3 linked regions of the Sus scrofa genome follow. The protein of the gene in region 1 purifies or fractionates together with the protein of each later gene. This does not show direct contact. Links are inferred from orthologs where the notes say so. Each region holds a gene or a part of one and is shown in the gene's direction. Other genes may lie near its edges. The genes, in order: USP4, RBBP8 and EDC3.

Region 1 (7,316 bases):
AATCACACAAGTCCTTTCCTTCCAAATCTGCAGATTACCCCTACAATAGGAGGACCACATAGGCAAATGTTTATTGTTTCTAGTTCTCTGCTGTTTTTTTTTTTTTTTTGGCTGCATCCATCGCATGTGGAAATTCCTGGGCCAGGGTCTGAATGCACACCATAACAGTGACCCAAGCCGAATCAGTGACAATGCCAGATCCTTAACTCCCTTAGTCACAGAGGAACTCTCAGTTTTTAACATTTAATCAGACTAAGAAAGTTTTTAAACTTTGGAAATAATGGTGATCTTTTGATAATGAATTTTCACTTTATTCCTTGCATTTTAACTATTGGCACTTAATAATTTTAATACAAATCTTTATGAAATACCCATAATTAGTGTATTAGTTTTACAGCTATTTAATAGCTCTGAAGAGACACAGGCTTAAAATGATCTTCCAAAGTTTTTATTTTTATATTTAGGTTTTGTCCCCCTTTCTAGTGGTGCTGATGACTTGTCCTATTTCCATAAGACTCTGACCCAGGCCATAAATGGTACAGGAGAAACTGCTAAAAAAAAAGAAGAGGGAAGCAGACATTCTAATGTAGTTTCTGAAGTACTGTCAGTAACCCAACTTTCTTTTTCCATAAATAGGGCTAAAGGTAATGTTTCTTGTTTGACACAATTTTAAACAATTTCAAAGAACTTTCATAGAACGTCATTTCTTGGGGTATCAGGATTGGCTTCCCAGAGGTAGAACTGTCATGTAACTTCTATCTGCAGAGGATTAACTGCTATGTGGTTATTCAAGGCAGGGTTTTTTTGGTGGTTTTTTTTTGTTTGTTTGTTTTTGTCTTTTTTGGGGCCGAACCTGCAGCATATGGAAGTTCCCAGGCTATCAGTCAAATTGGAGCTTTATCTGCTGGCCTATGCCCAGCCACAGCAATGCCAGATCCCAGCTGCAGCTGCGATCTACACTACCGGTCACAGCAATACCTGATTCCTGACCCACTGAGGGAGGCCAGGGATGGAACCCCCATTCTCATGGTTACTAGAGGGATTCCTTTCTGCTGTGCCACAATGGGAACTCCCTCAAGGCAGTTTTAACTCCAAATTTACTTTTCCCTGCTACCTACCCACTGTGAAGAGATCTCTTCGACTAAACGGTGCATAGTGGATGTCCCAGGAGTGCAAAGTAACTTCAATTAGCCAAAAGCCGAACATAAAAATAGTAAATCTGTTCAAATGACTTACCACACCTTCACCAGGCCACCTCTATCTCTTCTACCCCTAAAAATGAACACAGTTCATCTGTTTCTCCTCTCCTCCCTCACAGCCATCTTTCCCAAGGTTCCTAGTAGCACTGTGGGTATAAAGCACCCTCAACCATTTCTCTATGCTCTGAAACTTCCCACAATATCTGTGGGCTGTTTAAGGCAAGACATGTGGCCCCTCTGGCCTCCCTTTGAGCTTCAGATCCCAAGCCCTTTCAGTAATCTGTGCCCAGCTCAATTGGACTAATCCTCATTCTTTGATTCCGTCCACCCTGCTAGTTCCAGAAATTTTCTTTGACCCTTCTAGTTATTCCTCCTTTAACATGCACTATCATTTCTATGCTTTCAAGATCACGCTCAAATGCTACTCAAGTCAAAGGCGCCCTTTCACAGTTCAGGGTCTAATCTTTGGTTCTACCTGTTAGTGGCATTTACCCCACACTGCTTGGCTCTGGGGTCATTTGTGGAAGAGTTATTCTCCTCCTATAGATCAAATAAGGGCAGGTACTGGGCCTTGTATATCTTATTTTCTCTGCTAGATTCACATAGGCTAGCTGTCTGGCCTCCACCTTGCTCTGGGTTTACTTCCTCCTCCAGGAAGAGGGCTGTGATTTTTGTTTGCAGGGTTGAGTGGGAAACATATGGTGTTCAAACACTATCTTGTTGCAACAACAAACAGAGCAGCAACCCGGCATCTGATGTGGAGAACAGACTTTTACCTCTCCTTCCCCCATTGCTATTGCCCCTCTGCGGCTGCTTGACTCCCCGACAAAGCAAGTAGCTACCTCAGGGGCCTGTGTAACTGCCTGGGCTAGGTTATACTGGCGTCCAGCTTGCTAACGACTAGGCCACACCGTCGAGACTCGGTCCCAAGGCGCTGGTGCACCTAACACCCTCTAAAATCCCTGTAGTGCCTCTGGGAATGGAGATCCATTCCAAGTTTGGGCAGCTAAGGACTAACGTAAGGTCTCTGCTGAAAGCCGAAAGGCTGGAGTGAAAAGAAGACCTAGTTCTAGGCCTCCTTGCACCCGAGCTGCCTTTATTAAGACCAGGATAACCCTGCAAATCCAGAAGAGGTGCCCAGGGTGTCATGGGGTCTGCGGACCGACTCCTAAAGATCGCCGAGCTGAAAGGAGAAGTGGTGCAGGACCGCCGCCCCGTGGCTTGGCCTTCAGGGCGGAAGAAGCGGCAGCTCCTACCCACCCCCGCCCCGCGCCCACTTCCTCTTCCGGCCGCTCCCCCAACCCCCGCCCACTCCGCCGCGCACGGGTGGGACAGGGTTGGCGCGTTGGAAGGGTGGGGGAAAGGCAGAAGAGGGCAAGCGTACAAGCCGCGGCGCGAGAAGGTCCTTGGGTGCGCGCACGTGCGTGCGTGCGTGCGTGAGTGCGTGTTCGCGACCCACGGCACGCTGTGCGCGAGGCGGATGTCCGGGCCGGCTGGACCGGGGCCGCTGACGAGATGGCGGAAGGCGGAGGCTGCCGTGAACGACCGGATGCAGAGACCCAGAAATCCGAGCTCGGGGCCTTAATGAGGACCACGCTGCAACGAGGGGCGCAGTGGTGAGCGCCGAACCCGCGTTTCCGCCGCGCAGGGCCAGAGGGCGGGGCTTGGGCGCTCAGGCCCATCCCCTCTTTTCCTGTTTGGGCCGGGACCCTCTTTTCCGGCCGGGCAGGGGCGATGTTAGTGACCCCGGAGTTTGACTTGACCCCCCGCCACAGAAGAGAGGGAGCCCTAGATCCTCTCTGGGAAAGCGTGGGTGGAGCAGAAGGTTGTCCCGGCCCTTTCAGAGCTCAGGGGGCGGATCCGGCGGGGTCTAGGGCTGCAGAATGGAAAGAAGGGGAATGCTCACAGGGACCCTCAGGTTGAGCAGACCCTTTAGATTTGAGGATTCGCTCTGTGACTTTGGGCAAAGGCGTCCACATCTCACAGACCCTGGTTCCTTACTGTTAAAACCAGAGTAGCGACATTTGGCGCCCCCCGCAGTCAGTTGGTTGAGGCGTAGATCAGAAGTAGATACTTTGTAACTTGTAAACTGCGGAACAGACATCAAGGTCGGAAGCTGAACAAATGTCTGAGAGTCTCATTATTTTGGTAGCAAATGTCAAAGATAATTGTAGCAGCCGCATTTCGGAGTGAGAGAGAGGGGTAACCTAGAGCCTAGCTAAAAAGATTAAAAGTCCAAGATTTAGAAGAGCAGGTCTCAGTCAGAAGTTTCTTAATAAATTTTCTAGGAGAAGGAATAGTACTTACACTATTGTATTGTGTGGGAGCTGAAAGCTGGGGCTTGGCTTTGCACTGAATGTGACTGAGCATCCCTCTTTAAGAAACTATGGTTGTCTTCCAAGAAACTTAGTGTGACAGAGGACTTGAGCAGGGAAGAGAAACAGTGGGATTAGGAGGAATTCAGGTGTGTCTTGTGCTAGCCAATCTGTGAAAGGCAGGGCGGGCAAAAAGTACTTGTGGATGATATATCCTGATCAGAAGTGGCATATGAAGAATACTCAACAGAAGCAGAGGAAGTTTCAGATAGACTAAAATCAGTAAAAGTGTTTGGAGGATGTTCAAGAGGTTTGGAGAGAAAAGAGCGTTTAGATATTTGAATATATTTATGGATCCTTGTGGCCTTTAGGAGAAGCTACCTGATCTCCTCTGAGGTTTGTTGGTTATAAAATTTGAAGGACTTCCCAATATAATTGTTGTACTTTGTTCCCCAACAGAGGTTTCCCCCTCCTTTTGTCTTAATTGTAGAACAGCATAGTGATACTTTTAAAGTAAAACCAGATCATATTCCCTTTGTGGCTCAGCAGTTAATGAACCTGACTTGGATCCATGCGGATGTGGGTTTGATCCCTGGCCTTGCTCAGTGGATTAAGGATCTGGTGTTGCCGTGAGATGTGGTGTAGGTTGCAGATGTGGCTTGGATCCTGAATTGCTGTGGCTGTGGTGTAGGCTGGCTGGCAGCTGTAACTCCAATTCGACCTCTAGCCTGGGAATTTCTGTATGCCTAAGGTACGGCCCTAAAAAGAAAAAAAAAAAATTAAAATATAGCCAGATCAACGTAATGGTTATCGAGAAGATAAACATACCAAGACAATATTGTATGATGCATATGTGTGTTTGTATACCTGTATATGTGTACACATTTGTACACAAATACAGACACACATTTTTTGCTACTTTGGTCCTCAAAGGAAAACTGAAGTGTGTGATGTTATTATCTCTTTTTTTTTTTGGCTTTTCTAGGGCCGCACCCTTGGCATGTGGAGGTTCCCAGGCTAGGGGTCTAATCGGAGCTATAGCTGCTGGCCTACGCCACAGCCACAGCAACGCCGGATGCTTAACCTGATGAGTGAGGCCAGGGATCAAACCCACAACCTCATGGTTCCTAGTTGGATTCGTTAACCACTGAGCCATGACGGAAACTCCATTATCTCATTTTTAAAAAGAAAATTTGTTTAGTGCTGTTCTTGTCAAGCAAAGCATTATAACCAAACTATCATGGAATTGTTGAGATGGTCATTAGCAAAAAAGGTTTTCCCCATAGCAGAATTTTTTTTTCTTTGTTTTTTGGCTGCATCACAGCATGAACAAGTTCCCAGGCCAAGGATCGAATGTATGCCACTACAGTGACCTTAACTGTAGCATTGACAACGCTGGATCCTTAACCCCTAGGCCACAGGGATTTCCTGGAAAGGATTACTTTAATTTTTTTTTTTTAGGGCCACACCTGTGGCATATGGAAATACCCAGGCTAAGGGTCAAATTGGAGGTGAAGCTGCCGGCCTATACCACAGCCACAATAGTGTGTGATCTGAGTCACATCTGCGACCAACACTGCAGCTCACAGCAATGCCTGATCCTTAACCCACTGAGCAATGCTGGGTATTGAACCCATGTCCTTATGGATATTAGTTCATAACCTGCTAAGCCACAAAGGGAACTCCCGAGAGTGTGTGTTTTTGTTTGTTTGTTTTTGCTTTTTTGGGCTACACTGGCAGCATATGAAAGTTCCCAGGCTGAGGGTTGAATCGGAGCTACAGCTGCTGGCCTATGTCTCAGCCATAGCAATGCTAGATCTGAGCCACATGTGCAGTCTACACCCCAGCTCACAGCAGTATAAGATCCTTAAGCCACTGAGTGAGACCAGGGACCGAACTGTGTCTTCATGGGTGTTAGTCAGGTTTGTTTACATTGAGCCACAACGGGAACTCTGAGAGTGTGTTTTTTATGGAAATTACTTGTTCCCCAAGTGGAAAGACCATGAACAAAAAATTAAGGGAGCAGCTGCAGAAACTTACAACCTCAGCTATTCTGGTACAGTAAATTTTTGTCTGTCTCTAGGTATCTTATTGACAGCCGGTGGTTCAAGCAGTGGAAGAAGTATGTGGGCTTCGACAGCTGGGATATGTACAATGTGGGTGAACACAATCTGTTTCCTGGCCCCATAGATAACTCTGGACTCTTTTCAGGTGCGGTATTTTGTTGTTTTTCTAACTGAAATGTCCACCTGGGTAGTGGCCTGAGGTCATGTTTCTCTGTAACCTGGGCATTATGAACCTGATTTTCTTACAGTAAAGGCATAGAAACAAGTGTCCTTGACTTGTGCCTATACCAAAAATCTTTGTAGACCCTCAGGGGGAAGTTAAGCTGCTTTTTGCCTAAATTAACTGCTGTTACCAAGAGCCTGGGGCATGCTCCTTGCATTTTTTTTTTTTTTTTTTTTAGGGCTGCACCCATGGCTAATGGAAGTTCCCAGGGTAGGGGTCAAATCAGAGCTGTAGCTGCTGGCCTATGCCACAGCCATGCCAGATCTGAGTTGTGTCTGCAACCTACACCACAGCTCATGGCAACACCGGATCCTTAACCCACTGATCGAGGCCAGGTAACGAATCTGAGTCATCATGGTTAACAGTCAGATTTGTTTCTGCTGAGCCACAATGGGAACTCCTGCCCCTTGTATTTTAAATTTCTGCCTGTCTCTCTTTTTCAAATTAATTCTGCTACTGATTTCAGATTTTAGCTTAGTTTATTGAATGGAAAGAAATAGGTTATCATTTTGAAATTACATCTGGAATCTGAAATTTGGGAACCAGAATTTTCTGTGTTACCTTTGCAGTGGAACAAATTGTACCTGTCAACATTCACCAAGCATTCCTGTGATGGCTGTTTTTGTCAGGGGAAGTTAAGTGTAAGGGGAGATGGAAGGTCAGTAGAGTTATGATCACAGTCAGTTTCCAGTGGAAGAAGTGACTGAAAAGTGATATGTGACACATTTGAGCTTGGCTTTCACCTACCTTTCACCTATAGATGCAAAGAGATGACAGTTGGCTTTTCCTAGGCTTTTTTCTGCCTGGTTTTAGACTTGACTTTTTTCTTTTGTCTTTTTATGGCCGATCCCTTGGCATATAGAGGTTCCCAGGCTAGGGGGCAAATTGGAGCTGTAGCCACTGGCCTCTACTACAGCCACAGCAGCACAGGATCTTAGCTGTGTCTTTGACCTACACCACAGGTCATGGCAACACTGGAACCTTAACCCACTGAGTGAAGCCAGGGATCGAACCTGTGTCCTCATGGATGCTAGTCAGATTCATTTCCACTGAGCCATGACGGGAACTCTTAGACTTTCTTGTAAGAGGAGTACAAAGGTGATCTGTTGCCTTGGTCCACAGTCAGGGCATTTTTTGCTTTTTAGGGCCATACCTCTGGCATATGGAGTTTCCCAGGCATATAAAATTTCTCAGTTGAATCGGAGTTGCCTCAGGATCCGAGCTGCATCTGCAACCTATACCATAGCTCACGGCAATGCCAGATCTTTAACTCTCATCCTCATGGATACTAGTTGGATTCGTAACCCACTGAGCCTCAATGGGAACTCTTAACCAGGGTATTTTAAAAAATGAGCATGAGCAGTGCTTCAGTGTATACTTTGTGTTAGGGGCAGTCTAAAGGACATAATGTCATAGGTTTTTTTCCCTAATGTGGGTCAGATGGTGGCAGTATACCATGAAGTTGCCCCAAAAGGTCATTGCATTACGTTTGTATTTTGTCTTCCTCCTCCGC
Region 2 (7,198 bases), on another chromosome or scaffold:
GCACACCTCTCCACTACATCTCCCAGATGTTTACAATCAAAAATTTCTCCAGACATTGCCAGTGACCCCTGGGGGCAAAATTATCCCTAGTTAATAACCACTGCATTAAGGTGATGAGAGTTTTGAGAGTTTCTTGGAGAGAAATTCTCCAGTTTTCTGCTTTCACAACGAGTTTTACAAACCTGGTTACCAGCATTCAGAAGCCAAACAGTGTAATGGTACTGGGCATGTCACGATTCAGTAGAGAACTCTTATCTATACTGAATGGTATATTCTGTGGTAGGCAGAATAATGGTCTCTCAAAAATGTCCACATCCTAATCCTAGGAATCTGTGCATATGTTCTGTTACATGGTAGAGACGGAACTAAGAATGAAGATATAATTAAGGTTGGTAATCAACTGACCTTCAAACAAGGAGATTATCCTGGACCATAGAGCTGGATATAAATACAAAAGGGTAAGGCAGTAGAGTCAATGTCAGAATAATGTAATGTAAGAAAGACTTCACTGGCCATTGCCGGCTTTGAAGATGGAAAGGTGCCATGAGTCAAAAACACAGGCAGCCTCTAGAAGCTGGAAAAGATGAGAAAACAGATTCTCCCCTAGAGTGTCCAGAAAGGAATTCAACCTGTCTGACTCTTTGTATCTTAGAATGTTGATCCTGCTGACTTCAACCCAGTGATTCCCATTTTGGACTTCCGACCTCCACAACTATAAGATAAAAAGCTTGTGTCCTTTTAAGCCACTAAGCTTCCAACAATTTGTTATAGCAGCCATAGGAAAATAATACAATCTCATTACTTTACTATTCAACCTCAGCTTTGCTCAGCATGTTAAATAACGCAATCAACACTCATCCTCATATCTTCTTCCAAATTTATGGACACCTCTTTTCTGCTACCTCTCTCATTCTCTTCATGCTGTTTTCTTTACTATCATTTTGGTAGACTTTTAGAATTAATAGAAATAATCACCCATGTTCACCTACCATGTTTAACTGGTTTTATTTTTAGCTGACATTTTATTGGCGCCCTCACTGTGTACTAGATTTTTGGATAAAGCCTCATGTGAATTTTATTATTTGAATTTTATAATTACCCTAGGGGTTATGTACTACTACTTTCATTCACATCTTGTAAATAAAACAGATGCCTGATTCAGGTGACAAAGCTAATATGGAACAGAATTGGGATGGAACCCAAGTCTTTCTGACTTCCAAGCCTATATTCCTAAGCAATTATGCAATCTTGCTAATTTCCACAAAGTACACTCTAGAGCATGGGTCAAATCCAGCTTGTCACTTGTTAATAAAATTTTATTGGAACACAGCCATGTCCATTTGTCGAATATTGTTTACATCTGCTTTTGTGCTACAATGTTAGAGAGGAATAGCTAAAACAGAGACAATTTGGCCCATAAACACTAAAATACTTACTCTCTGATCCTTTACAAAAAATTCTGCTGATCCCTGCTATAGAAAATAACCTTCTTACTAAGTTTTGAGGTCATGGTGTCCTTGGGTACCTAAAACTTTTGTCACTACATCAAAGGCATTCTTTTTCTTGTTCCCTCAACATTTTGTTATCCTGCATATAGCAATCTTTGGTCATAGTTAAAGAGGAAAGTTTCTAAACCAATCTCCTTTGTGAGGTCTTTCCCATACTCAGTCATACTTGCTCTCTTTTCTGTGCTCCTACCTCAGTTATTCTCTCTTTCTCTCTCTCTCTCTCTCTCTCTCTCTCTCTCTCTCTCTCTCTCTCTCTCAGGACTGCACCGGCAGCATATGGAAGTTCCCAGGCTAGGGGGTCACATGGGAGCTGCAGCTGCCAGCCTATGACACAGCCACAGCAACAACGGATCCAAGCCTCATCTGTGACCACATAGCAACTTGTGGCAACACTGGATCCTTAACCTACTGAGCGAGGTCAGGAATCAAACCTGCATCCTCACGGATACTGTGTTGGGTTCCTAACCCACTGAGCCACAATGGAAACTCCAGTTATTCTAATTATAGTACTCATGCAGTTCAATTCATATAACAGTTATCAGTTGTGATTACCCTGGGATCTAGCAAGTGTTGCCCCTGAGTAGATATTTACTCAGTGAGCATTTATTAAATACTTTCTAAGTTTCTGCGCTAGACACTGAAGACACAAAGATAAATATGGCATCTTGAAATTAATATATAGTTTACTTAATTAGGTACCAAAATAGAAAAGAAGCTAAACATGGAGGCTGAGCCTAGGTCCCTGTAACAACTACAGCAGGATCACCTGAAGTATTGGGGTAACATCCCAGACCTACTGAATCAGTATCTCAGGAGGTGAGGTCCAATAATCTGTGTTCTTAATCAACACTTCAGATTATATTTAACAGGAAAGCTGGAGAATCTCCATCAGTAGATAGGAAAGACTGTTTTTAAATGCATAAATATCATGAGAGTAAGAAAAAAATCTCACATGATCTCCCTTAATACAAATAAATTTCTGTCAAAATGTGATCTTGTGTTGCTCACTTCCTCCATCCAAAAGATTAGAAGACACACTTAGGTGGCAACTTGGACACTGATCCCATCTCTTACTAAATTTTCCTTTTTTCACCATTATAATCCTGTACCTAGCACAGTTTGTGGCACACAGTCATTTTCAAGAATTTGTGTTCAACTGATGAATATCCAAAGTAAAACCTCTCCAGGTTGTCCTAGTATGTAGAAATAGGCGTTTTTCCAATTTTAGACTGGAATGGTATGAAGATCATTTGAGTACAAGGAAGATAACACACCCAGGCAAAAGTCTGGTCAACCCACATCTTGTTTTCCTCCCTCTAGAAAGGGTTCCTTCAAACTCTCAGGGCTACTGCCCTTGTGGGGAATATCGACATCCTCCCTGCCACTTCAAAGCTGAGCAAGACCAAGTGGACTAGTGGAAAGGTAAGGTATTATGGATTCTTCTTCATTGTAATCTTCTAGAGGCTTTAGTCTGCAAAGCCCTGGAGTACATTTAAAAATGGATTACCTGCCCCTGAGGATGGTAGACACTCAAGTTATCTACAATGAGAGGTTTATAACAATGGACTCTTGCTGTACCTGACACAGATCTACCCCTCCCACTGGAACTCTGAATTATTTTGCTGGAGGCTACAACATTCTGAGCAGTTTGTTGGGAGTTGACGGGAGGTGGGGATAACTTACCTGGTACAAGCTTAGCAGAGCTGAGCCGCTGCAGCTTGTTGGGCTAGCCTTTGATGCAGACTGGTTGGACGGGTTCTGGATCTACAGAAGAACCGGTCTGACTGGCCTGCTGTGCCAACATATTCTGGTTTGATTCCATGTTCCACAGACGGTAGAAACCTGCCCAGCCAGTTAAATGAAAGGCATATTAGGTTATCCATTGCAAACCTTATATAGCTTAGATGCAGCAGAACTCTTCCACACAGCAGTGGTGTCTAGCAATCTAGCGTGGTCCAGAGAGGTGTCTCCCACTGATTTACTGTGTACGTTCATAGCTGTAGGGAAAGTCAGCAGTGAAACACCTGCTGCTTTTGACCAAGAGCAGAAGTTTTCTAAGTAAATTGAAGGGTAAGTTAATGTATTTTTTTATCTTTCTCAATTTTCTAAGCACTTTCAGAAGGTTAATTAAGAAATGATGTTTAAGATAATCTATTTTTAACACGGTAGTACCTGCATTCTATCTTTTATATAAAGCTGGTTAGATACTGTCTTATAATATTTGTACATATGTTCATTGATTTGTTTAGATAAAGGTTATTTGGTATATAATACACTTCTGCTATAAGTCTTTGTAAAATGGGCATGGCTGTAGTCATTAAGAAAAGTGGGTTGAATAATTTTGCTAAATATATTTTACCTATTAATATAATGATTCATCTTAAGCCATCTACTTCTTTGATAACATACTATTATATTTTACAGGCTGTTGCTATATGGTAATGTTTTATATGGCAAATCTAATTGTGGATAAAATAATAATGGCCTTTTTAAGGCATAAAAAATAGTGCTGGCCTGCCTGGTGATCGTTAAGTACTTTAGAAGAACAATTCACAGCAAGAAATGAGGAGTGTGAAAAACAAAGATTGTGGAATCTGGTAACTGATTAACTATTGGAGCTCAAAAGCACTTGCTGAGCTGAATAGAAAGGAATGAAGACAGGTTTTGTCATGCCTATTAGGTCTGAAAACCTTTTTAGGTTAAAGAATATTTGGGTCTTCCTTTAATTTATATTTTAAAATAATTCTTTTCTCTCTCTCTTTCATTGATCCAAATAATTTATTTTAGTAACCTGTTTCATTTAAAATGAAAATTATCAAGCCCTTTAGATTTGTTTTGGCATACCAAATTACCCCCTTAGTTATTAATATTAGATTGAATTGAGTGCACACATCCTCCGGGCATTCAACTTAACGTATCAGCTGACATATGAAATTTATCTGGAAATTAAAATAACTTTTTAAAACAGATTTATACTAAATATTTTCAAGGACTATCTCCAGGCCATCACATGACTTTCCTTGAACTGAGCAATACTAAGGCATCCTTTTCATAGTCCTTATAGAGCCCTCACTTTGTCATTATGTTCAAACTTAAAGGCTATATGTTTCCTTAGAATGCTAATAAAGAATTTTTTTAAAGTGAGGATGAATGTTCAGATGTGATTTCATTTTTTGCAGGGAAACCTTTTGCATGCTGTTTAGTCCTACCCCAAGGCAATTCTGCATAAAACTTCTGATAATCAGCTAAATTTCTAAAAAGCTATGTAATATTGAATCTGCAAAAGTAATGTGCTGATTCAGCATAAACTGTATTCTGACAATTTTTGGAGAATATAGATAAAAAATTTTAGTTGGTTGAGTTTTTCTCTTTTCAATTAATTTTCAAGCCAAATGTAGATATATGTCAACAGAGTACACTTTTACTGTTTAGAGTAAATATATATAGTAATTTAAGATTTTTAAACCTTGCTTAAAATACTGTTTAAATATAAACTTAATTTGGGATTCCAATTTATTCATTAAGGATTTTTTATGCTTATGGTTTTAAGGAAAGCTATTTAGGAACTAGATGTATATATCCATATAAAATTTGTGGGTAAAATTTCAAGTCTAACTACATTTTGGAGAGGGATTCTACATTTTGGAGAGGGATTCTACAGCTATTACCTATCCTTAATAGGATTTCCAGTTTCAAATATATGAATGTCCTATTAAATACTTTCATGTATTTTCCATAAATTAATTCCTTTAAAATACTGATACATTGTGATGTTTTGATTGAAATTAAGAATATATGGATTAATCAATCAAATTAGAAGTCTATGATTGCCTGTGTGTGTATTTTACATAGCCCTGTATTATCTGAGGGCCCAGGTCAAAAAATGATCTAGTCATTTAAAAATCTTTTTATTCCCTAAGTCTAGTTTAGGATGCATTCCTTTGTCTTTATTCCTGGCCACAAAGTTTCATACAATGACTCTTTTTGTCATCCATGCTAGTTTTCTTAACAACTACATAACCTCTTCCCTTCCTGAATATATTCATGTATTTCCTACCAAAAGCACTTAGAATCATGACATTTTGGGCTACAAGGACTCTTTACAAATAACTAATGAATTCAACTTATTTTTTAGTTGAATAAAAAGCCCCCAAATGTCGCTAACTCACTACTATACAAGCTAAGGGTAGAGATGAGACCAGAACATCCCAGGTTCCTAATACCAGCCCGGACTAATATTTTTTTCACTACTCCATGCAGACTCTTCTGAATACTACTTGCAATTTATTCTGTTTACTAAAGGACTTGTAAAAAGGTAAAATTGGGCTATATAAGGTATGTTAAGGAGTATTTGCTTAACCAAGAAATTATTTGCTTTTATATTTTAATCTATATAATTACTGCCCCCAAACCTTTTTTGGTATCAAGTGGCTGAATTTATGGGGATGCCATTGGTAATGGATATGACCACCTCTTTGCTACCTTCTTCTCTTAATGCTCTCACAAAATTTTGTATCAAATTGCTAAGAGTACCACACATTCCTTCAAATTTGCTCAGATTATTTCTAGGCAAATAAGTTATCTTCTGATTTATTATTGCTTTAAACTGTCTCAACAGTTTATTTTCTTAGTATGTATATAAGTATGTATATACTTTTGTATTGTTTTAATCACTTTTATGTGGCTATAGTTTAGGATTTAACCTAAGAAATTAGTACTTCTAAACTTTGGTTAGAACTGACAGGAAAATTTCAGTAAGTTTATGAAGTCCAGAATTGCAGGATTCAAAATCCATCTTAGGGGAGATATACCTGTTATTTAAAAGGTGAGATCTTAATACAGTACTTTGCACACAAGTGCTCAAAAATGCTTTAAATGTTTTTAACTTGAGGAATTTCAAGGAAATAGGACCACAGAAAGCTTGAAAACCAAAGGCTCAAAATTTTCAATTCTGATTCTTAAGCTAAAAGTTAATTTTCCTAAACCCCTTATCTTTTCACAGATAAACTCTTACCTGAGGGATGCTTCTAAATTTGGTAAATTTAGTTCATTCCAAGTGAACTCTAGAAAATAATTACCTCCATTTGTTTCTCATCTTTACAATCAAGAGAAAAGGTACATTGAGAACTATGTCTAGATACTCATGTTGCAACAGAAGAAAGGGTGGGGGAAAAACTGTAATTGTAATGTATACATGTAAGGATAACCTGACCCCCTTGCTGTACAGTGGGAAAATAAAAAAAAAAAAGAGAGAGAAAAGGTAGTATATTGAAAAATGTATGGATTTTTGAGACAAACTGAGATAGGTTTGAATACTGATTTTGCTGCAAACTAGTTTACCCTTGGGAATTATTTAACCCTGAGTTCTCTTTTCTCCATCTGTAAATTAAGAAAACTATTACCATTCTCTAAGAGTTCTTGGAAGGATCAAACAAGATATTGTATACAAAATACCTAGCAGTCTCTAGAACATAGTAGGTATAGCACATCAATATTCTTTACACCTCTTTAATATAATATATAACAAGTTTTTTTGTGTTTGTTTTTTGCTTTTTAGGGCCCCACTCGCAGCATATGGAAGTTCCCAGGCTAGGGGTCAAATTGGAGCGTTAGCTGCTGGCCTATACCTCAGCCACAGCAACGTAGGATCCAAGCTGCATCTGCGACCTACACCACAGCTCATGGCAATG
Region 3 (6,689 bases), on another chromosome or scaffold:
GTAACACCCACACATAACCTTTTCTGTAGGCATATCAATTCTTATTTCTTATCTCCTCTGAAGTCTCCATGGAAGGAATGCCCTTTGTGTTCAGGGCCAACCTTATCACATATGCTTTATGAGCTATGCTTTCTTATCTCCTTTGAGACCCTGCTCCTTTTCTTTTGTGTCTTCACTTTCAACCTTAATACTGGCTCTTTTCTCTTCTCTTTCTAACATTCTCAGGCCTCCCCCATAGTATAAACACTACCCTTCCACACACCTTACATTTGCCCTAGGTATTGCCCTGTCGGTTTCCTTCTCTTTAGACTCACAGTTCTTTTCAGAGTAGAATACAGTTGGCCCTTGAACAGTGAGGAGGTTAGAAGGCCAACCACCTACACCATCCAAAATCTTGGTGTAACTCTCAGTATCCATGGTTCTGTATCTGTGGATCATGTGGTACTGTAATATGTATTTTGTTGAAAAAAAAAATCCACGTTTAAGTGGACCTACACAGTTCAAACCCATATTCAAGGGTCGAATATAGTCTCCTTTTACTCCCTTTGTGTCTTAGTCTAGCCTCTTTCTACCCCACCATTATCTTTTTCTGTCTTTACCATCTTGCTGAACTAGCTGCTTTTGTTAATTTGTTTTGTTTTTCTTTTGGCCGCCCCATGGCATATGGAGTTCCCAGGCTGGGGATCAGATCAAACTGCAGGCTGGGGATCGAACCTGTGTTGCTGATCCCATTGTGCCACAGTGGGAACTCCTGAGCTAGCTTTTGCTGAGATTAAAAATGACCTAATTGCCAGATTCAGTGGCAGTGTCTTAGTTCTAATCTAATCTTATTCAGATGTTCCCTAACCGTTGGAGTGACCTCTTCTTTTAGTTTCTTTGTTACCCCTTTGGGTTTTCTTCCCAAGTATTCCTCCATTCCTTTATACACTTTTTCTCCCCAGCCCCACAGGTTCCTTTTCTTCTACTCACTTTTTTTTTTTTTTTTTTTTTTTTTGGCTTTTTAGAGCCACACCTGCGGCACATGGAGGTTCCCAGGCTAGGGGTCCACTCGGAGCTACAGCTGCCAGCCCACACCACAGCCACAGCAATGCAGGATCTTAGTTGCGTCTGCAACTTACACCACAGCTCAGGGCAGCGCTGGATCCTTAACCCACTGAGGGAGGCCAGGGATTGAACCACAACCTCATGGTTCCTAGTCACATTCGTTTCTGCTGCGCCACCACAGGAACTCCTCTTCTACTCACTTTTTAAGATGGATTTAGTCGGAGTTCCATCTTTGATTCTTTTCCTGGTCTGTATTCTCCTTAGACAATCTCTTGTATACCTTCTTACACATTAATGAGACCCCAGATTTTTATTAGACCCATTATCTGTGTTATATACACTTTAATTGTCTACTGGTCATCTCCAAGTGGCTATCCTACAGATATCTTAAATTTAAAATTTTCGAAGCTGAGCTGACTATGTTACCTGCACATTTCTTCCTCCAAAGTTCTATCCTTAATTAGTGACTGATGACACCTTTCACCCAAGTTAGAAATTTAGGAATCATAATAAAGTCTTTCTCTTGATCCTCATGTTTAGTTAGTCACCAAATTCTGTGGATTCCTGGTATTTCTTGGTTCCATCCTTCCCACTTCCTTTGCATTGTCACTTGCCCTGTTCATCCCCATGTTCTTTATCTCCTAACCAGTGCCCCTGCCTCTAATTTCTCCACCTTCCCTGTAGCCATCAGGAAAATCCATTGTGATTATGATCTGGTCCCTAATTTCCTCCACAGCCTGACCTCCTAATGGCCCTGCACAAGCTTTCTTCCCTTTAGTAACCCTGTCACATTTGAAGTTCTCCAGATGGCCCACGTTTTCTCCATCTCTGAGCCTTGGCCTGAGGTGCCCTTCTCCCTACCAGACTGTTTTGCCAACTCTTTGTTTTCCTCCCCAGCCAGACTTAGCTTAAGTGTTTGATCCATCTCTGCCAAACTAACATATATTTTGCTTTGGGGTGCATTGGTCCCCAGTGCACACCTTTTGTCATGGTTTTTAACACTTGTGATTACCTACCTGAATTTTCTGCTGACTAGACTGTGAATTCCTTGTGGGCATGTATTGCTTTTCATCTCTGTATGCTCCACTCGTAATACAGAACTTAGCACATTGTGAGTACTCTGTATATACCTATTGAATGAGTAGATGAGTGAATGAATGAAAAAAAGCCATTAATTAAGCATTCTAGAAATCTAAGATGTTAATAATAGTTGTGTGGTTAACAGTAGGTCTCTTTAAAGGCCAGTGCTGTGACAGTTGAATGTTGGTGGCCGAGCCTTATCTTTAAGTACTCTACCACCTTTTCTAGTTTTTGCCTTTGATGACTCATTGAAATGCTGCCCTGCTATGGTATAACTGGTTCTTTTTGATCCCATTTTCATCACTGTTATCACTATTATAGTTTTGACTTGGGCTCTTTTGTGTACTTCAGGGCAGGTGACATTACGGAACTAAAAATTCTGGAGATACCAGGTCCTGGAGAAAACCAACATTTTGGAGACCTTCATCAGGCAGAATTAGGCCCCTCTGGTGTTGGGTGCCAAGTAGGTATTGGTCAGAATGGCATGGGCAAGTTGGTTAAAAAGCCAGCCTCTTCCAGCAGTGCCCCTCAGAACATCCCTAAGAGGACAGATGTCAAGAGCCAAGATGTTGCCGTTTCTCCCCAGCAGCAGCAGTGCTCAAAGAGCTATGTGGATAGGCACATGGAGTCCTTGAGTCAGTCCAAAAGCTTCCGGCGTCGGCACAACTCTTGTAAGTTGGATTGAGTTAATATTTCTTTTTTACCTGATGTTTCATGTCTATAAGCTCTTATTCATTGCTAGTCTTTAAATAAATCCTTTATTACCCTAATAAAAAAAGATGCTGGCAGAGCTTCACAAAAATATAGCATGGTTCTTTCATTCTGGAACTATTTCCTCAAGATAATAAGGGAAAGGAAATAAGCTGTTAGAGACTCACACCAGCTCCTCGCCCTCTCTCACCACTTCCCTTCCTTCCAAAAAAAGTCATTCATCTGTCTTGAGTTCACACAGACAAAAGCGATGTTGTTTTTAATCTGCTAACTGGTGGTAGTAGTGATACCTGGGTTGAACTTACACTTAAGCTGTTCTAGGGGATTCTCAAATAAGTTTTCTTCTTGTATTTTAATTCCCATCCTTAGAAGAGAGGAAGCGATGGGCCTAGACATCTCTGTGATCTTAAAATATCTGACATACTGACAATTTTAGATTTGCTGTATTCACTCCCTGCTAGCACATCAAGGAGAGCATGCACTGGTGTGTGTATTTGTTCCCAGTTTTGTTTGGTACTAATGAATTGTTGAATGCCATTTACTCGTTATAGACCATAGTTAATTCACTAGAATCTGGTATGCTCTTTAACATATTTACTAGAGTAATGTTACAGTAGTGAATTATAACAGATCCACTAGACTCTGTGTGGCCTTTCAGGACCCAACATTTTTAAGTTTTCAAAATGCCTGATTCTGTGAATAAGCTACTGACATTTTGATTTTTTTTTTTTTTTTTTTTTTGTCTTTTTGCTATTTCTTGGGCCGCTCCTGCGGCATATGGAGGTTCCCAGGCTAGGGGTCCAATTGGAGCTGTAGCCACCGGCCTACGCCAGAGCCACAGCAACACGGGATCCGAGCCGCGTCTGTGACCTACACCACAGCTCACGGCAACGCCGGATCGTTAACCCACTGAGCAAGGGCAGGGACCGAACCCGCAACCTCATGGTTCCTAGTCGGATTCGTTAACCACTGCGCCACAACGGGAACTCCCTGAAATTTTTTTTTAAATGTATTTTGAGGCACTTTGCCTCAGTACATCTTAAATAACTATATGAATTGACAAATGAAGACCTGAACCTGAAGTTGAATTGTTAGTTCTTCTGTGTCCTTTGAAAAATTGTAAAATGCTTAGATAGAAAATGACTTTTTCCGTTTAGACTTTAACATTTTCTACTTTGCTTTATTCTCTTAAAAAAAAAAAAACTTTTTTCTTTATCAAAAAATTGACTTGTTTATTAAAAGTTCAAATATTCAAGCAATTTATAATTGTACTGTACTTGGAGACAGTGCCTGTTAGCAATTTGTAAATTTTTTTCTGCATATTTTCTGCCTATTATTAACATCTTACATTTTTATGACATATTCGTTACAGTTAATGAAACAGTGATGAGACATTAACCAAAATCTATATTTTATTCAGATTGCTTTAGTTTTTATTACCCAGTGTCCTTGTTACAGGCTCTCATCCAGCATACCATGTTACATGTAGGAGTCACCTTTTCTCTTGACTTTGACGGTTTCTCAGACTTTCATTGTTTTGTGATGACCAGGACAGTACTCGTCAGATATTTTTGTAGACTATGCCTCAATTGGTATTTGGTTTTTTTGTTTGTTTGTTTTAGGGCTGCATCAGTGGCATATGGAAGTTCCCAGGCTAGGCGTTGAATCAGAGCTTACACCACAACCACAGCAGTGCCAGATCCGAGCCACATCTGCCACCTGCAGCACAGCTCACAGCATTGCTGGATTCTTAACCCACTGAGCGAGGCCAGGGATCAAACCTGTGTCCTCATGGATGCTACTCAGATTTTTGAACCACCGAGCCATGATGGGAAATCCTGATGTTTTTCTTATTATTAGACCGGGGTCATGTGATTGGGAAAGGAAGATCACAGAGATAAAGTGTCATTTTCATCATATATCAAGAGTATATACTAACAACATGGTTTCTGACTTTTTTACTTATTTCTACTGCTGCATCTGCAGTGCATGGGAGTTCCTGGGCTAGGGGATGAATCAGAGCTGCAGCTAAGGCCTACACCACAGCCATGGCAACACCAGATCCATCTGCGACGTACACTGCTGCTTGCAGCTACACTGGATCCTCAGCCCACTGAGCAAGGCCAGGGATTGAACCTGAATCCTCATAGAGACAACATCAATCCTTAACCCACTGAGCCACAATGGGAACTCCCTTGTTTCTGACTTTGATGTTGACCTCAAGTGCCTGGCTGAGGTAGTATATGTCAGATTTGTCCTCTGAAGTCATTCTGCAGCCCACCCCTAAGAAGTCGAGAGTCATGCAGAGTATCTACATAAATTATTTGGGATTTTTCTGTTCCAGAGATTTGTTTCTTCTCCCTCATTTACTTATTCAGTCATTTATCTTTATGAGTATGGACTTATAAGTATTTATTTTATCCTTTGGGTTATAATTCATTTCCACTTTATTTTGCTGCTCATATTGTTTCAGCTTTGGCCACTGGGTGCTCCTTCAGTTGGCTACTGTGTCCCTTTGGCATGCCCCCATTATACATTCCCTGCCTCCTGGAACTTCCTCCCTTTCAGGCACTGCAAGATGCTCTAGGTTTATCTGTGTTTTCTGCCCCAGCCCTAGGGACCTTGTTTCATTTTATTAGAGAATGGTATTACCACAATCTAGGCAGTAGATGTGCTTATTGCTGCTGGGTGTCACCCTTTCAGCTGACAGAGCAAGAAAATATATGTGTGTACTTAAACCAGTGTATATACACATATCTGTAAATACATTTTGTTTTTTTTTTTGCGGGGGGGGGCCATGCCTGCCTCATATGGAAGTTCCCTGGCTAGAGGTCAAATCAGAGCTGTAGCCGCAGAAACACTAGATCTGAGCTATGTCTGCAACCTACACCACAGCTCATGGTGACACCACATACTTAACCTACTGAGCAAGGCCAGGGATCAAACCCACCTCCTCATGGATACTAGTTGGGTTCTTAAGCCCTTGAGTCACAACGGGAACTCCTGTAAATAAATACATATATATATATATAACCTTCACTACTATATTAAGCTAAATGTGAATTCATGTTGATGTATCCAAGTCTAATCCATCACCACATGATTCATTCTAGCTTCCTTTTCTCATCTGTAACCTCTTACTCCCAACAGCAAGAAATCCATACTGTCTTTCATCATTGACTTAAATTATTTAATTCCAGTATACAGTATCAGAATTGCTAACTCTAACCCATGCCCCCATCCTCTTTATTGACTAGTCTCATATATTTGTAACAGATCATTTGCTTGCATTCTGCACTCCATCCTGGGCTCCTCCAACCTCCTCAATGATTTTTTTTTTTTTTAATTTACGTACATTAGGCTCCCTCTTTGTGCTCTAAAGTTCTGAAGGCTTTGACAAATACATGTTATTTTATATCTATCAATACAGTATTGTGGAGAATCCCTGTGTTTAACCTATTCAGTCTTTTCCATTTTCCCTCCATGATTGCTTCCCCACTCCCCACCAAGCAACTACTGATCTTTTTATCATCTATCTCTGTAGTTTTGTCTTTTCCAGAATATCACATATATGTAGTCTTTTCAGGATTCTTTATTTTACAATATGTATTTGATTCATCCATGTCTTTTTGTGACTTAATAGCTCATTTCCTTTTATTGCTTAATAATATTCCATTGTGTGAATATATAAAATTTGTTTATCCATTTACCTATTGAAGAACATCTTGGTTGCTTCCAGCTTTTGGTGATTATGAATAAAGTTGTTATAAATATTTGTGGTTTTATATGGATATAAGTTTTCAGATGAGTTGGGTAAATACCTATGGGTGTGAATGCTGGATGTTATGAGACTA

The links.
Region 2: the proteins of USP4 (region 1) and RBBP8 purify together in Homo sapiens (affinity purification with western blotting; 3 studies listed by BioGRID, with this or other methods). This does not show direct contact. The link is inferred for Sus scrofa from reciprocal best matches to the Homo sapiens genes USP4 and RBBP8.
Region 3: the proteins of USP4 (region 1) and EDC3 purify together in Homo sapiens (co-immunoprecipitation; 3 studies listed by BioGRID and IntAct, with this or other methods). This does not show direct contact. The link is inferred for Sus scrofa from reciprocal best matches to the Homo sapiens genes USP4 and EDC3.

What each region holds. Positions count from the first base shown.
Region 1 is NC_010455.5:31,899,618-31,906,933, reverse strand, and holds the start of USP4 (ubiquitin carboxyl-terminal hydrolase 4), read left to right. Parts: upstream 1-2,556; 5' UTR 2,557-2,714; coding exon 2,715-2,815; intron 2,816-5,597; coding exon 5,598-5,725; intron 5,726-7,316.
Region 2 is NC_010448.4:107,920,573-107,927,770, forward strand, and holds the start of RBBP8 (DNA endonuclease RBBP8), read left to right. Parts: upstream 1-3,396; 5' UTR 3,397-3,578; intron 3,579-7,198. UniProt on the Homo sapiens protein: Endonuclease that cooperates with the MRE11-RAD50-NBN (MRN) complex in DNA-end resection, the first step of double-strand break (DSB) repair through the homologous recombination (HR) pathway.
Region 3 is NC_010449.5:58,851,161-58,857,849, forward strand, and holds part of EDC3 (enhancer of mRNA-decapping protein 3), read left to right. Parts: intron 1-2,475; coding exon 2,476-2,795; intron 2,796-6,689. UniProt on the Homo sapiens protein: Binds single-stranded RNA. Involved in the process of mRNA degradation and in the positive regulation of mRNA decapping. May play a role in spermiogenesis and oogenesis.